Drosophila melanogaster: one gene and its partners. The protein of the gene in region 3 interacts with the protein of the main gene of each other region in a pairwise test. Each region holds a gene or a part of one and is shown on either strand. Other genes may lie near its edges. The genes, in order: CG15365, CG6287 and CG15483.

Region 1 (5,627 bases), on a different chromosome or scaffold from region 3:
GGTCACAGAGCGCCGAGACTTTGCCATCAAGTCAATCGAGTGGTTGTGTGACCTTCGAAACTACATATTGTACACCCTGTTTTTTTTTTTTTTTTTTTTTTTGGCAAATTCAATCTTACTCGAGATGGCAGGCCAAAAGGAGGAGATCTTGTGCTGTGACTTTGAGGTGCGTGGCAGGGTGCCCAAGGATGCTTTCGAGCTGTTTGCACTGGTCCAGGCCAATGCACTGGGACTGCGGGGATTCATTGCCCAGGTGTCGGAGGAGAAGTTCAAGGGTCGTCTGGAGGGCGAGGGCAAGGTGATCGATGCCTTTAAGAAGCTCATCCTGGCCGCCGCCGATTACGTGCAGGCCATCAAGGAGTTCATTATTAAGAATCTGAAAGTCATCCAGGAATACACCTACAAGACCTTCGAAATCAAGGTGAACCTAAAGTGATTAAAGGATCAAACAAAATAAAATATTTCCAATGCATAATTTTGTTTAAAACGGCTATCAAAAGTTTTATCCATTATGATTTGTCTAATATTTTTGTTGTATGGATATAACAAGGTATTTTCCAAATAAAAATTACACAGTTATATAATCACAAATTCAAAAGAGTTTCCTAAAGAGCTGATTTATACAACAAGCAATTTCCCAAAGAGAAGAACCTGTATGAAAATGCCAAACTTTTCATGGGCTCATTGTGGATTGAATGATTATTGTTGCGATTGCTGGATCTGGGCAATTCTCCAAATGACCCATGGATTCTCACTTACGAGTACTCCATCGTTGGTTCTAGGACCCATTGCGATCGTGACGAATGAGCTAATGATGTCCATGATCCGTGGGAGGGGATAACCTTGTGGCCATCGCCGCCGGCGATCGGATATCAAATCGAATCGCATGCCTCGGATGCATATACTCGTAGTAAGCTAGCGATGTTCCCGGCTGTTTGGCATGCAAATCGAAGAATCTGATCGCCACCTCGATCGACACGATGAAGGTGTACCACTGGACAACAGCGAACATATAGCCACGGATGGTTATTTATGCGTTCGCGGATACAACTGCCGATTCACTGAGTTCCAGACTTCTCAACCAAATAGCACTGGTTAACAGGCCAGTGAGAAGTGGTAGATTTGAAGTTTAGTTTTTCTATATTAAGAAGATCATCTTAGTCGGCTAAGCACAAAACGTTACCATCTCAACACTGCACATCGGGGGGAATTATCAAAGTGTTCTTTTGTAGGCCAGTGTCGTGTATCTGCAGTGATATATGGACAGCTAAACTATCTTGGCTCAAGCAACGTTACAATTTTATGGGTCAATTTGCGGACGGCCATTACTAGAATTTGTGTGTGTGTGTGTGTGTGCAACAGGTAGCCAAGTGTGTTTTACACAGAGGAAATTAAAAAATCCTTGGTATAAAAATCCTTCCTCCTGAGAAATCTTAAGGTTCAAATATATTCCAGTGAAGAAACTAACCAAATATTAAATACTATTAAATTTTAAATACTATACTATTAAATATCAAATACTATTAAATATTTTAAAGAATTATCTGTAAGTAATACAATTTTCTCGCTGTGTATCTATGAATGTAAGCAATGAACCTATATGCGAAAAGCCACAAAATTGAGGGAAATTAACCTAGGCGGCGACTGCGACTTGGACTAATGCGGTTGCCGCGAACATATATGTTTATACATATGTTTGAATCCCAAGTCTGGATCCGAATCGGTATCCAAAATCAGAATTAGCCGCTTAATTGCAGCGCTGTGGCAACGCCAGCAAACCGGAAAGAACGGCGACAATGATTGCCAATCCGATTCGCAAGCAATCAGTGCTGACTGTACGTCATAACACCAATAGAAGCATAATTAGTATAATTATAAGTTATAAAAAGTAAAGAGTATGAGAAACAGCTACTACATTTAGTACACAATACATTGATCTTTTGGAAAATATGCTTATGAAAGTGATTGAATCCTTAGCCAACAAGTTAAATAACTGCATGAATCTCTAAAGTACAAGTTATATTCTTCAATTTTCAAGTAATTCGTACACATAAACGTTTGCAATCGAATGAGAATGTCATTTCGAAGATGACTCTTTTTTTTATAAGCTTTTGAAAAAAGCTAAGCTCTCATCTCTGATCGCCGGCGCGCCGCAGTCGCGTCGCAGTCGCCGTTCGCTGCTTCCAATTCCGACGCTCTGCAGCTCAGTTTGCTTTGAGCGCTGGAACGCGAAAGTCGTCGACGGAGGGCCAACGTTGCGGATGAAAGTTTCGAAGCGAACTGGGAAGATTTTTGAAAAGCGCAGGCGTGCAACGGTTTTTTTTTTTTAGTTTTTCTTTTTTTTTTTTGGGGGGGTTTGGGCTACGCTTCGCGGCGAGCGGTGAATGGCAGCCTTTTTTTCGAGTGTGGTGGCTGAGTGCAATTCAAAACGCATTTCGTGCATAATTTGTGGAATTTTACGCGTTGTAAAATCAATTTCATTGTGCAAATTTGAAAACTTGCCTGCTTTCCGTTGGCTTTCAGCGGCAACAGCTGAAATATAATGCAGCCACATCAAGCGGGCAAGCAATAAACAAATATCAAAAAAAAAAAAAAAACCAAGAAAATTTACAAAATATAAAAACACACACATTTGAAGAGTCAACAACAGCGATTACAAGGCACTAAAAACCAAAGGAAGAGGTGAGCAAATATTTCCATTCATTTGTTATTCTTTCGTTGGGCTTAAAATATTTTCGTATTTTTTTTTTCTTGTTGCTGTCTGATTTTTCGTTTATTTTGGTTTCGCTGATTTTTTTAATTCGAATGGAGTACACAGAAAATAATAGAATATGTTGAAAATTGTAAGATTTAAACATAATAATATATTTATTATGTGGCATTTGAAATTGAAAACGTGCTAAAATCAATTTGAATTCGACCTGCCTAGCTTGATTAGAACAAAGTAGTACATGCTCTTTTCGCACAGTGTGCCTATCCCAGCTGGCTCACACACACACAGGCACACGCACAACCTCTTTAAAGTTGTCGCTGTTGTTGTTGTCCTCATTTATCTGGACTCAAAGAGCTGAAGTTCGGAGTCGCGGACTCAAAAACTCTGAGCCGTCGTCTTCGATTATTGAGCCGTTTGACTTTTTCCCAACTGCCAGCGAACCTGTTGGCCCCACAGGCAAAAAACAAAAACTACAGCGAAAATATATACGAAACTGGTGAAAAAAGTAGATATATATACATATATATATATATATATATGAAAAAAAAAGATGAAAAAGATGCTCTGGTCAGCCTCTAGAAATAAGCAAGTATCTGTCTTTGAGCTCTTTTCTCTTCTCAATCTTTTGCTTTTTTGCTTTTTTTTTACACTCGTAAAGCCCATAAAGTGCCGCATATACTTGACCTATCCGAAACTGCGGGTTCTACCCGGGGGGAATGGATAATGGATAATGGATAATGGATAATGGATAATGGTCGCCGAAGTGGCCGAGTTGCTTACTGGGTTGGGTTGGCCAGTTGCACTTGGCCTTAAATCGCTTTATTTTACCTGGAAAATCTCTAATTCGTTCCGACGGAATTCAGCGATTTTATGTTGAAATGTCAAGTGCAGAAAAATAAAGTGGTTCTAATAAATATGCAAGTGAAATACATAGATCACTAACAATCCCCTAGATACCTCTTAAAAAACGATCTTTATTTTAAATATACTCATATATAAAGTTTATGAATATCCTTAGTGAATGCAGTAAACAGAAGGCAATATAATATGTTTTTGTAAGTGAAATACTACTTATTTAGAATAATATTCTATAATATATTTGACAAAGACCTGATTTTTTGTTCACTGTGCAATCTGCTTTTGGGTTGAGAGCAATTTTCGTTTGGATTTGGCCCCTCCTCGAGGCCCCTTTAAAAATTATTATTATTACTCTGCCGCATCATTATCGCCGCGCTTGAAATCTAATTTCTGCCCCGGCCACAATTTGCCACACGATTTTGTTTAGTTGTGTTATGTTTTGTCTTATTTCATTTTCTTTGTTGCGAGCCCCAAAGGAATTGAAAGTGCGCGCGCATGCGCAATTAAGGCCAAGTGCGCGCAAAAAAATATATATACGAGTAAATTCACAAAAAAACACACAAACGTCAACTGGCAGGAAAAAATGAAAAACAAAAAAAAAAAAAAAAACAAGAAATGAAAAAAAAAATAACATAAAAACAGGGGATCGTCGGCGGAGGAGGCTGAAGGCTAAAGAGCAGAAATTCACTTTTTAGTTTCGTGAAAAAAAAAACACACAACAGAACCCAGAAGAGAGTACCACATACCCCCCATCCAAATAAAAGGAAAGAAAAAAGCCAGTTGGTGAAAATCCAGCGCATACAGGTTATAAAGATTTATGATCACTTTTGATACCGTCCGCCGTCCACTCGGCCTTCCAATGTAGGTGAAGCTCAAGTGAAAGAAGATAACGTGGCTTAGTGCAGATGAAGCTGGCTCGGAGCGACTGGGCCACGAATGTGGCCACAACGCCATATAGCCATATAGCCAGCCAGCTATGCCCACTTAGATTCAGGTCATCAACGCCGGCGGGCCATTGAGAAAATCGCGATTTCTTCGAGGAAATCCAACTGAACAAGAGCATCGATAAATGTATTAATTAATAAGAGTAATGGCAAAACAGTTTAGATTTAATTAAATTGAAGTACAACCTTAGTTTTGGTTAACAGGATAACTACAAACAATATTATTTGGCAAATAATTAAAAGTGTCTCATTAAGGCCTCAATCAACACTTCAGTTTATTGACAATGATTGATGGGCCGAATTGCTTGAGGAATGGGGTCAAAACTATTGATTTAACAACATATTCGTTACATTCATGTTATTTGCTTTTTGGTATAAGTATATATTTTTTTTGTAATTATGTATGCGCAATTAGGTAATATATGTCATAAAGCATAGATAAATGAACCTAACCTTTATTCGAATGAAATATTTTACACCCTCGTTATACAAATATCTATTACTCATAATAAAGGTCACGCTCCTGTTGTTTTATTGCCCGCACAATCTGCTTTTTATATAGCCCCATTTTACACATAGTTATCCATCGTGATTCATTTGATTGAATCGTGTTGCAATCATTATGCATTCAAACAAATAGTTTCCACTTTGTATGCAATAGTTAGCCAATAGATCACTTAATGGCTTCTTAATTGGCAGTTAACGCGAAATTGGCAGCAAAAGTAGATGTGCAAGTGTGTTTTTTTTTTAGATTCAATTCTATCTTGTTCTATCAAAAACTCAAGCAATTTGGAGTTTATTCACATAAATTCACTGAGTGAACTGCGTACTTCATTTGAATATAAAGCGTGTGTTCAGTTTTTTGCTTCACTCATTAGCTGAAATATAAATTATATTAGTTTCAACTGCTATTAAACAACATTTGTTTGCCTCTTCCATCAAACTGTAAATCCTCACTCTTTCACTCACTGCACATTCATTAAGTTGAACTTCTTATCGCATTGCATTTAATTACTCACTTCGCTAACAGATTTTCTCACCATTCATTTGCTGCATTAATTCATGTTTTTGCATTTCCCCCCTTAAAAAAAAATTAAATGTATATACATACG
Region 2 (7,510 bases), 1.6 Mb from region 3:
TTCTTCAAGTGTAATTGTACTTAGGCATATCGAAGTGTAACCATACACCCATTCACATTGTATTTGAATATTCACCTTCTATTTGTTTTTTGCGTGTTCCAAAGGTCCAAGTTCAATTTCAATGCCGACTCACAATTTGATTCCAGTTAAGCCGACATATAAGCTGATTGAAATGAAAATTTAATTTTAACTTCTCCTAGTTTCCAATGGCACGTTACTCCTTTTATGAGTTGTCCAGAGAAGCCATGACAATTCATATCATCTTGTGAAACTTCACGTTTGCATACAATAATACGGAATTGGCACTTCCTGTGTCGTAAATTATGCATTGACAGAATAAGTTCCTTTTGCATTGGAATGAAGACAGGACAAGCGAAAATGGGTCTTGCACTTCCGCAATTGATTTAATACATTTAACATCACTTAATATTTCATTTCACAACCATTTTGTCTCGTTTTCATTTTCCAAAGCTATTTTCACCACATAAATCACGTATATTTGTCATAAATTGCTACAGCTATTCAATAAGTAAACCATTTTCAGCCAGGAAATATTCTTTTATTGCTATTTGCCAATATCTTCCTCATTTCCAGGGAAAAAGAATTCACAGTTCCATATACATTTTTGTCCATTATATGAGCTCCCATTGTGTGATTCTGTTGCAGAATTTATGAATTTCTTCTTTAAATGGAGCGCTTTTCCATTAAGCTGCTGCAATTGAATCAGAATAAGTATCATACTACTGGTCTCTTTTAAATTTGTTAAATTGTTTAAGAATATCAAGTGGTGCCTTTGCCATAAATGAACTTTCACCTGGCAATGTTGGTTCAGTTGAACGTATTCGCACATGCTGAAGATTATGACACACAAAAGTTGGCAGGAAAGTTCACTGAAACTCCGCTTTTCCTTGAATGGCTATATGTAAAATCAACATTAAACTTGCTTTCTGGTAAAAGCCTTGATTTTTTTTTATCAAAATACAAAACGGTAGTACGAAATTCGGAAAACAAGTCAGCTTTCGTCTAAGTCCTTGTAGCATTTCGATACCTTGAAATGGTAACTTTCTAGGAATAATAATATACATATATAAATATTTAGATCTGAGAGTATTTTAAGAAAACTCTTCTTCTTTTTATTTTTACTTGTGTATTTTGGTTTTTACGTTGTTTACATCCCTGGTTGTAAACTTATTTATTTATAAATGCTGAATATCGAATTTAGAATGTGCTGATGGTTGTGAATATTCGATTTGCTTCACTGGTAATGGGCGAGTGCCTCCTTGTTAATAACGCCCGCATAACTGGTGTACTTCGGCGAGGTTCCATTGAGGGCGATGAACTGCTCCGCCACCTCCACGGCAACACGGACCTGCGCCTCCGAAGTGCTCGCGCCCAGATGCGGCGTGGCCACCACCTTGGGATGACTGATGAGGGCCTTGGTGACCGCAGACTTTGGCGGCTCCTCGGGATAAACGTCGAAGGCCGCGCCGGCCACTTTTCCGCTCTCAAGGCCATCGAGCACGGCCTGCTCGTCGATGATGCCGCCCCGGGCCACATTCACCACCTTAACGCCCTGTTTGCACTTGGCCAGTGTCTCCGCCGATATGAGATCTGATGGGATTCAGCAAAGAAATCTATATAGTTTAGCTTGAATTTTATGCATACTGCTGTTAAATGTTAATCTCTTAATCTCTTATAAATATTCTATCAATGCGCGACTTACTTCTGGTGGCTGGGATCAGCGGCGTGTGCACGGTTATGTAGTCCGCCAGTGGCCAAATCTCCTCCAGCGTCATCTTCTCGATGCCCGCCGCCTTGGCCTCAGCCTCCGTGGTGATGGGATCGTAACCAATAATCTGCAAAGCACTCAGAGTTCGATTAAAATTCCAAAATAAGTAAATACCCCATTCAAAACACACCCGCATGCCCCAGGTCTTCATCCGAATGGCGACCTCGCGTCCAATGCGTCCCAATCCGAGAACGGCCAGGGTTTTTCCATACAGCTCTGTGCCGGCATAGAGCTTCCTGTCCCAGCGACCCTCCTTCATGCTCTGACCGGCGGGGACGACGGGACGGGCCAGGGAGCCAATTAGGATGCACGTCAGCTCACAGGCCGAAATGGAATTGCCACCCGGAGTGCTGAAAGCGACGAGAGTTTAGTTAAACATTCCCTAAATGCCTCGCTAGACACTAGCTGTTGCGCTAAGTTGAGCGTTTCTGGTGGGCAAATGGGTGGCGTTTGTTGTGACTAGACAGCATTATGCAAATTCCGCCAAAAAAGAATTGAATGGGAGGTGGGAAATATGGCAATTTTCCAGCTTTCCAGGACATCTGACATGGATGTGGCCAACCCAGCACCCACCACCCACAACCCATAGCCACCCAAACACCCACGCAACTCCATCGACACTCGTCGTCCCTTAATTATGCGTGTCAAACGGCGTCAATTGACCCAAGTCATGGGTATTCTGGGCTGGGATGGCATATCAACTGCCAATCCTGCGATTCGGAATGCGCATAATTATTTGTGAGCTGCGCCATCGGAGATTACACTACGCTGCATACCATAAAACACTGCTAGTTTGAATACCCATGTTTATGATCATTATTGAGATTACCACAATTTTACTGAACAGTAATATTTCCTCGCAATTGATAAATCTGCCATAAAGGGCTACATAAATTCATTTCCGAGAACAACTAATTAATATTTTCGTTCCATAAATTAGAAACTGTTTAAAAATGCAAATAAATGAAATCGGAGCCGAAAATGGATTGAATTGTTTACCAACTTGAACTATAAACAGAATGGTAAAATATCCATGAAATATATTGCATGGCAAGAGCTCTAATTAACCATAAATAAGTACTTTGTACTGTTTGTACTTTCTATATCAGACTTTCAGCTACAAATACAAGTTGGTCTTGTGGCATAGTGTTCGTGGCTACTCTTTTCCCGCCCTGCAATGCACCGGAGGCTTACGGAGCACTTACTTCAGGACAACGACATTTTGCGCTGTGGCTGCGGGAACATCGATGTTGTCAACACCCGCCCCCGCACGGCCAACGACCTTCAGGCTGCCGGATCCGGCGGCCAAAACTTCCGCGGTTATTTTGGTATCCGAACGAACGATGGCTGCGTCGAAATTCTGAAATGCGGTGTAATTTAATAATTAGCAACTGGGTAAATATAAATATTTGTCATCTAATTGCCTAACTCATTTCCCTGGCCATCTGGATGGCATCGATTACTGCTTTCTTCTGGAAACGTGATTGATACCACCTAACACCTGTACTTTATCATAAATAAAAGCAATTCGTCTGGCGTATGTATGTTTCTGGCTAAGATTATTGAACCTCTTGATATTTTCCGGCAATTTGTGATCCTACTGGAAACAATTTATTTAATGTTGAGGCAACATCGTCTGATCGGCCGTTTGATTGATAAGAACTATTGGACCGATAGTAATAAATGGTGATAACAATGTCTGGCCCAATTGTTCACAGCAGATTATTGCCATTTAAAAGGAATAGTTTTTTTTATTTTGTAGAATAAAATCTGAAAGTGCATTTCGAAAAGTGGTTTAAAATGCTGGGCAGTTTAAAATGAACAATAGAGAATAATATAGTCGAGATACTCGACTAGCAGATACCCGTTATTTGGTTTGTGGGAGTGCGAACGAGCGAAATTACAAAAATTCTTTGGTATATCGATAGAAATTGTCAAAATTGTGGGCGTGGTAGTTTGCGTTCAGACGGGCGGACAGAAGGACGGACATACCGACTTGGCCAATGAATCTAATCAATAATATATATATAATACTTTATATGCTTTCCTGCTACCTGTTACATAAATTTCAAAGAATCTAACGGGTATAAAAACCATTTGGTTCAGACTAAATTCTTTTTCTCTCTGCGAACGTGAAAAAAAATTTGTTGTCAAGTACTTATTTTCTGACCCTTGCAATTTGCTTTTATGTTATTCAATAAAATCACCAATTAAAAGTATCCGTCTCTAAATCAAATAAAATTCAAAACATGCATTCGTGCCCATACAGACATGAAGCGGTTTAACTAATTGAGACAAACATGCTTGTCAAAATTTAAAGCTGTTTTCGTGCAAGAGAAAACAAATTTAAATAAATTATGAGAGTAATTGATTTTGATTTGAAGAAGCCACAAAATGTTTTTTTCTAGTTTTTGTTTATTTTATCTTTATAACTGCGGTGAAAATATTCTCTTAGCCATTAACCCAATAAGGCTTAAAGTTTGGAGACAAGGAAAATAAGATTTGTAAAAACATTCTATATTCCATAACAAAGATGATAATGTTAAAAAAAGGGGTCAATTCCTTATCATTAGTTTTAATTTTGTTAAATACAATCTCCATACTGCAGTAGTTTTGAAATATACTTTCGGTTTGATGTGCTTAGATTGCTTAGTTACAGACTAATTGAAATGTTATTATTATGTAACGCCCACGCGTACTATCATATATGTACACACACATATACAATGCACCCATATCTCAGAGCGTTGCACATGTTTTTAACCACACTTGAATCATTCGCAAAGCTTTCATCCCAGCGACTTAACTCGTTCATATACATCTGAACGTGTGTATGTATTTACTTATTTACCTGTACTGAAATCCCTAAGCCACTTACCTTAACTTCCTGACACAGTTCCTCCACGGGGAGCTTTAGTTTGTAGGTAACCTTGTCAAAAAAAAAGAAGGAAAATATATGGTCAACAACGTTGATTAAATTGTGCAATAAATTAAATGCACTTATTTTCTATTTGTCCACTTCTAAGCGCTTTTACATGCTTGCAAATTCACATACAGTGTGTACTCGATAAGTAAAAGCAATCGAATAGCTTAATTTAAATGAATTGCATTGTAGGCATAGACTTTCAAATATTTAATATCTTTTTAGTGTTAGTTTTCGTCGAAAAAACATTTTTTGTGTGGTTATACTTAGTTTAATTATTTGTATTTTTATCCGAGGGCGCACTGTACTTTTGAGCACTTGTATGGGTGTAAGCTTTTGCTTACTCCAACAAATAATCGACTGTCACGTCAGGGGATTGGCGAACCTTACCTTAATCCCATGCTGTTCCAGCAGCTCCACGCAGGATTTGTCCACAGCATCGCAGACCAGCACTTTTCTTATATTGAGGGGCATATTTGGGTGGGTAATGAATACACTGAAAAATCTGGACAACCGGTAGATTGCGTTAATTTTTGCCAATTACTTTCCGCAACTCACGATCTGCGCCGCCGAGCAAACAAATTGAACTGACTTCGAGAGTGGGTTTCTCGGGCCATCGAACCTGACTTCGAATGCCTCTCGCCGGTGCAGTGCGATTGTTGTTTTTTCTGGGTGATAACCAAACCACTGAGAGGATCGGAGAGCGCCACTTGGATCTTAAAGTTCTCTCCTTCTTCTCGCGCGATTTGTTCTTCTTGAGTGTGCGTGTGTGAGTTGTTTTCGATTTTTGCACGCAAAACAACAATTTTAACCCACGGACGACCCTGTGATTAAAAATGATTTAAAAATTTCAGCTTTTGTAAAAAAATATGGCAAGCTTTCTAACTTTAATTGTATTATGCATTTATTTACTTTCTAATAGGGTTCAAAAAAAAGTACTTACCCATATAATCAAACTCACGCCGAATAGATAAGACTGCATTTATTTTTAATATTTTTATTGTATTTGCTTTTATTTGCAATTTAGCTTTCATTTAACTACGTATTTTCCAAAAACATATTGTGAACAACATTTGAATGCGGAAAATGAAAACGAAAACAACAAAATGTCGTCAAGGTGATGGCAGGTATTCATCCTTAACATTAAATTAAAGGAATCTTACAAAGTTGTTAACAAAATAATTAGGTAACAAATTGAAATATCATTAACTATTTACATACAATTTTTGAAAATTGCTGATTGGATTTTAGTTACCGTTTTTCTCATTTTTTACAATATGTATATGTTTTGTATGTATAAAATATTCTATATAAATTGGGAGCGGTGTTGATATTTCCACCAATAGTTCATTTTTATCTTTCCAGGGTATTCGGTGTGGGGATCTTTGGTTAATAATATATTGATTACGGAAATTTCATGCGTGCTCTTGTCAAATTTTCCACCTTCTATTCCAGTTCAATAAGTTATTTAGGCTAAAAAAATAAGGTTTGCTTTTCTTATTTAAGTGGCTTTGAAAAGTAGAGAAGTTATTACCGCTAAATTTAATTATATATAGGCGTATCTTTAAAGTTTCAGTATGCTTGCTATAAAACTTGTTTGTATGTTTGTGTTTTTTTTTTATAGTTTTCAAGAGTGTCAACAAATCGAAATTGCTTGGTTTGGTTTTCATTTGTTTTATTATAATCGGAAATAAGAGTTTATTATTACAAAAAAATTGCTATACTTTTGAAGCAAACCAGTTTTACTTCTTTGCAGACCTCTGTCCGTCTGCTAGAAGGTTATGTAATGGAATATATGAATTTATCAAGTTTAGTTTTCGAAAACTTTCAAAGAACTTGAGTTGAGAAATTTAAGGCATCTTACAAAATATCTTCAACATATTCCTATCAGATCTGATGAAATTTTCATGGCAAAGTTCACCTTTCCGTTACCAGAAAGTATCTAACAATATCTGGGATAATCAGTTATTTTTTAATCAATATTATTTTAATTAGTTTTTGGATTTCACGCTTACAAAATGCCGGCTGATGTATCTTTATCGGTTTAAATTTTGTTAATTATGGCAAGAACATACATACATATTTATATATGCAGCTCTATAAATGTGTGTATCTTTTTTAATATATACCATTATAATATATTGAATTACCAGTTCTGTGAATTATGTGCAATATTCTAACATACACACTTCTCATCAACTGACCATTTAAACTTAAGTTTTCCGCTTGTCCCCTTCTTAGCTGCAAAGGATCGTATCTAGTTTTGTTTTTAACTTTATGCTAGTATTAAAAAGTAATATTTCATTTAGGTTTAGCTAATACATAGATCATTTTGCTTTGCCACTTTTTACAAGAAGTGCTTGTGTATCGTTTGCTGCGTTCCGTTATATATTTAAATTTCAATTTGTTCCTCGTTAAAGCGCCTCCAGTGCCTTGGTCAACCCCATTCAAATTCTCTAGGGGATGGGAGGTGTTCTCCCATCTGACCTTTTAAACCCTCCCTCTCCTGAATGTGGCTAACAATTTCAATTAGGTATCTGTATTTGTCGTGCGCTGTTCAAATTTACTTTCTGAAAATTAGTTATATCACCTTGTATCTCTTATATAAAAAAGTACTAGATTTTTTCTGCGGGCAAATTGCCCGACCTGTCACTAAACTCTGACCCCGTGTTACAGGATTCAGCTGTTGTCCTTGGACAGTAGGATGGGTTCTGTGGGTGTGCTTACAGATCAAAACTAGCTGAACATCGACTCTTACTCGAGGTGGTGGCGATCGATTTGAATGCAGTGCGGTTCAT
Region 3 (4,759 bases):
TTTGAATTGAAAATCGTTTTCGGTTAGAAAATCAATTGGGCAAATGTGAACAAGTGAATAAACATCAATCTAAATTGAAATATCCATTGTTATATAAACTAGCAGAAAATACATTTAGAGCGTGACAGTTGCATTTCGGTATTAAAGGAGATGTAAATTGAATTACGATTAAGCTTTGTTTATTTTTATTGAGCCACAACCATATCTATGATTATTGATATAATTTCATACCACTTTTTTTGGTATTATTTTCATTAAAGGAAATAGTTGTTTAAATAGTTGTCTCACTTCAAAAGTTATATTCCTGTTGTGTATAAGTTCACTTTTCACTTTTAAAATACTTTGTCAATTTTTTTTTTTTTTTTTTTTATATTTATTTATTTAGAAGCGATGAATCAATACAATGCAATAACAGTAACATAACAGCGCAATTAAGATATAAAAGATAAAACCAAACCTCTCACTAATCATGTGAGGACTTACAATACTTTGTCAATGCTTATTATTACTTTTCCTATCATTACCGCTCTCTCTCTCTCTCTCTCTCTCTCTAATTATTTGCTTTATAACTTTTGTAATTTAATAAGATACAGCCTGGACTTTTCATATTCTGATTAACAACTAGGTAGTCCGTATTTTCAGCTGACTTTTGCTTTACGAAACTCTATACACCTGATTCCTCCTTCCTCGCCCTGCCATTTTTTCCTGACATTTTTATGTCCGACGCACAGGTAAATATGATTTCTTTGGGAAAAGCACTTTCACCTTTCTCCCGGGGCCATTGATCCGCCCGGCATCAAAAGTTGCACCCAACTTCGATGCAGTTCTCCCACACATTTTTCCTTTTCTCTATTATAAACTGATTTATTGGTTCATTTCCAGGCGCCCGGATCAAGGACTAATGCCATCTCGGTAAAAGTTGATCGGGACGGGGAGCAAAAGTACTGGTGGAGCAAAGGTAGACAAAGTAAATTAGATTTGGCACTGCCCTGCTGATGATGATGCATGAGACAAGTGAGTTAAGGTTCCAGGTGGAGCTGGAGTCTCAGCCAGGTGCAGCAAGTGGAAACAATAAGAGCAACAGACGGCTAACGTAACTTTAAGCCGATATCAAATCTTTCAATAATTAATATGGCCCACAGCCAGCCAAGCCATAAGGTAGGGTGCACATTGGCGTCGAGCTGGCTGGGCAAACAAACGCCGGCTCATAAATAAACACACACAACGTTTCAGTTGGTAAAGTTTTCCATGGCGGCGCACACACACTGCCCAAAAATCAACATCGCATGCAAATTCATAAGCTTACACCTCGCAAATACCACAGGCAATATTTTAAGCCCACTCAAAAACACTGCATTTACTTACTACTGCTTTATGTTTATGCCACCAATTTAAATGGGCCGCACTTTTCTGCTTTAAAAACAATGAATGGCCTGCAAGGCACTCATCTGCATATTATTGTAAAGCTCAATAACTAAATTCTAAATACTAAATATTTAAAAAAAATATATAAATTATTATAAAATATTGAATATTCTGCAACAATCTACATTTCGTGGCATTGGGTTTTGTTTTACAGTCCCATCATCAACTAGGTTTTTTCTCCAAGTGCTTTACTAGCAGCACACATCAGAACGTGTTCATTTCCGGCTACAGCATTTACCGTGCATATCCTGTGCCGTGTATCCTTGGCCAACTCTCCTTCGACTCGTTGCTGTTGCGTTGTGTCCTGTTGCTGTTGCTGTTGCCTTTGCCAACTGTGGCTGCCAAAGCCGTGCTCCATCGTCGATACAGAAAGCTTTCAGATTTAATTTTAATTAGGTGCTATTGAATTTATAAATTTTTCAGCTGCTGTCGCCGTCCTGCGCCCTTTGTCCTTCGTCCTCCCCCCACCCCCCTCCCATTTTGGCTGCTCCTCCACCGCACACGACGAACTTTGCCAGCCATTTGCAAAAGTTTGCAGGGGATTCCCATCGGAGAGGCCCTGCCTGTTGCCTGACACTAATAACAATAATCGCAAATTGTATTTTCATGAATTTTCAACTCGTAATTACTAATATTTCAATATACATACAAATACATAATCTATATACACAGCACCCCCATTGCGCGCCCAAATGCGAATAGAAGCCAAAACTGGGCGCATAATTAAAATTTGTTGTCCACGGCTGTTGCTGTGAAAAGGGACGTGGGTATGGTTTGGATGGATTTCGTTGCGAGTTTGGGGATTTACCTTTAACAATGAACAATGTACATTAATTTTCCGTATTAATTGTTTATTTGCGCAGCCTGCATATTAAAATGTCTGCTAATCAATAATAAACCCCATTCGCAACAGATTATTTTTCGTTTGGTGGGTTTCGTTTTCATTTGGCTGGGGAAGGGGGTGTCGAGAAGCCTTTTGGGAAAGGTTGGCTTAATTGAGTTTTAAGTGATTCTTTAAGGTTTCAATTAAATAACACTTTAGGGGTTTTCTGCAATGATAGAAAAGTATATTTGTTATGAAATCCAGTTGAATTTCAATCTATTTATCGAGGAAACATAGGTCAAGCCCGAATACAATTTGTGGAAAGCCCAAAAAGAAAATCGTAACAATATGTTTCGAATCTCTGGCCTTCTGAGTTCACTCGTAGTCCTTACTTTTGTTCTGGAAATCAGTTGCCTGGAGAATGGCACCCTGGCCAAGCTGAAAAAGTTTGTGAACTGCGAGTCTAAGGCTTACAAGTCCAGCAATGCGATCTACAAGGATTACTGGGTGCTGGAAAACTATGTAATGGCTGATCACGGCGATATTCCGTGCTATTCGAATGTGACCTACACCACCCATGCGGACTATACGTATCTGGATAATGTGGTGCCGCTCCTGGAACGCTGGCGATCGCCCCTCAGCCTGGCCATATATGCTCCTGGCACGGACTTCGAGCCCACTATACACAGCATTTTGTACCTGCTGCAGTGCCATCCTGGCCACGACCTGGTTCGCCAGCTGTGCAGCATTCATTTGTACTTCGATGTGGAGCACTTGCCCCAGGTGGTTCTGCCACCCGAAACGACTCTAAGGGAGCCAGCCAACTGTAGTGGACCACCGCCATATGAGAATGTCGTTAAAGGGAACATGTACAGGTCTCGAAACACACTGGATTATCCCGTCAATATGGGACGCAACGTTGCACGCCGGGCTTCGCTGACGCACTACGTCCTGGCCTCGGACATCGAGCTCTATCCCACGCCCGGATTGGTGCCCGACTATATGCATTTCCTTGGCCGCCAAGTAAGGTTTATTATTGCACTTTTTGGTTACGATTTGTTTGGCAATATGCCTCTACTTGTACCAATTACCCCGTTTGCTGATGTCAGTTGGCAATAACGATTTCTGAATCACAGGTGATTGGAATTCCAGGACAGCAGCCCACTTCACCGTTGGTCCATGTGCTGCGGATTTTCGAGGTAATGGCCAATGTATCTGTACCGAACACCAAGCCAGAGTTGCAAGAGATGTTGAAGTCGGGCGAAGCTGTGCCATTTCACATGGACATCTGTGAGGCATGCCATAGGGGACCCAACCTGGAGGAGTGGATAAATGCGAGCGTTGTCTCCAAGGAACTGAATGTCTTCAATGTTGGCCACCGCTCGGAAAATAACAACAATTGGGAGCCAATATTTTTGGGCACCGTCGAGGATCCTCCATACGATGAGCGATTAACGTGGGAGGGTCAACGGGACAAGATGACCCAGGCGTATGCCATGTGCGTTCTGGACTACGAGTTCCATATCCTGGACAACGCCTTCCTGGTCCATAAGCCCGGCATCAAACAGCCAGGCAATCGTAAGGAGATCTTCCCTCAAGCCCGCCGAACCAATGGGCTTATCGATAAAAAGATCTCCAGGGAGATGCGGATGATGTACGGTTCTCGGAATGGTTGTGTTATTTAGATGTAATCCTGCTATAAAAAAGTGCTATTTCAAATTCAATGTTTAGTAAAATGTGTGTGTTTACGATTTAGGGAAATACAAATTGTAATAAGTATAGCTTAAGCTAGTTTAATTTACTTTACTTTAATTGTTTCATATAAATCTGCAACTATGAGTAACTTATATGTGTGTGTTTTATATTTAAAGTCATATCTAAGCTCGAACTTTCATTGCTTTTTTTTTAAAAGGGCACTTAAAATTCGCCATCGGTTTTCCGCTTCCGTCAATGTTTGCTTAACTTTTTCTACTGTGCAGTTAACAAAAAAAAATCAACAATCAACTGCAAACGCAACAGCATCAATAGTATAAAATATGAACTGCAAACCTAAATAAATATTTATTATTTGCTGCATTCTACTGCTTGTGTGTGTGTGTGTGCGTTTTATATGCCAGTGAAATTTTTAGCTTAATTGAATATCAATTCGTTTTAAAATGCGCACCATCAAATGGGGGAGTGCGGCGGCAGTTGAAAGAAATCGAATCGGGATTTTTAGAGGCTGATTGGAGAGGAGACCGAAGGGATATGGAATATTTATAGCGCAAATTATTAGCATACAAAATGCAATTGATGCCCTCCAGTGATTAATTAAAATGTTTCCGAGCGCATATAAATTCATATTGTTTATTGCGGTTCATGCACAGACACAATGCACTCGTGTAAGTGCCAACTGCGAGGTCATGCGCCATTTTTGTGGTTCACAGCACTTTGCGTATGACCCAAGTGCCGCGTACCCATCCTGGTCACCTGGCCGGAATCCGCACGCTTTAAGGACCAGCTGTGGTTTAA

What was found.
Region 1: the proteins of CG15483 (region 3) and CG15365 interact in a two-hybrid assay, tested with the Drosophila melanogaster proteins (one large-scale study listed by BioGRID).
Region 2: the proteins of CG15483 (region 3) and CG6287 interact in a two-hybrid assay, tested with the Drosophila melanogaster proteins (one large-scale study listed by BioGRID).

Annotation. Positions count from the first base shown.
Region 1 is NC_004354.4:9,064,563-9,070,189, reverse strand, and holds the start of CG15365 (uncharacterized protein), read left to right. Parts: upstream 1-2,206; 5' UTR 2,207-2,682; intron 2,683-5,627. Other genes in the region: CG10970 (uncharacterized protein), read left to right, coding at 125-436.
Region 2 is NT_033779.5:11,150,416-11,157,925, forward strand, and holds CG6287 (uncharacterized protein), read right to left. Parts: upstream 5,307-7,510; 5' UTR 5,187-5,306; coding exon 5,103-5,186; intron 4,719-5,102; coding exon 4,668-4,718; intron 3,150-4,667; coding exon 2,995-3,149; intron 2,140-2,994; coding exon 1,920-2,139; intron 1,857-1,919; coding exon 1,724-1,856; intron 1,612-1,723; coding exon 1,256-1,611; 3' UTR 1,091-1,255; downstream 1-1,090.
Region 3 is NT_033779.5:12,759,630-12,764,388, reverse strand, and holds CG15483 (uncharacterized protein), read left to right. Parts: upstream 1-2,548; 5' UTR 2,549-2,596; coding exon 2,597-3,271; intron 3,272-3,384; coding exon 3,385-3,933; 3' UTR 3,934-4,043; downstream 4,044-4,759.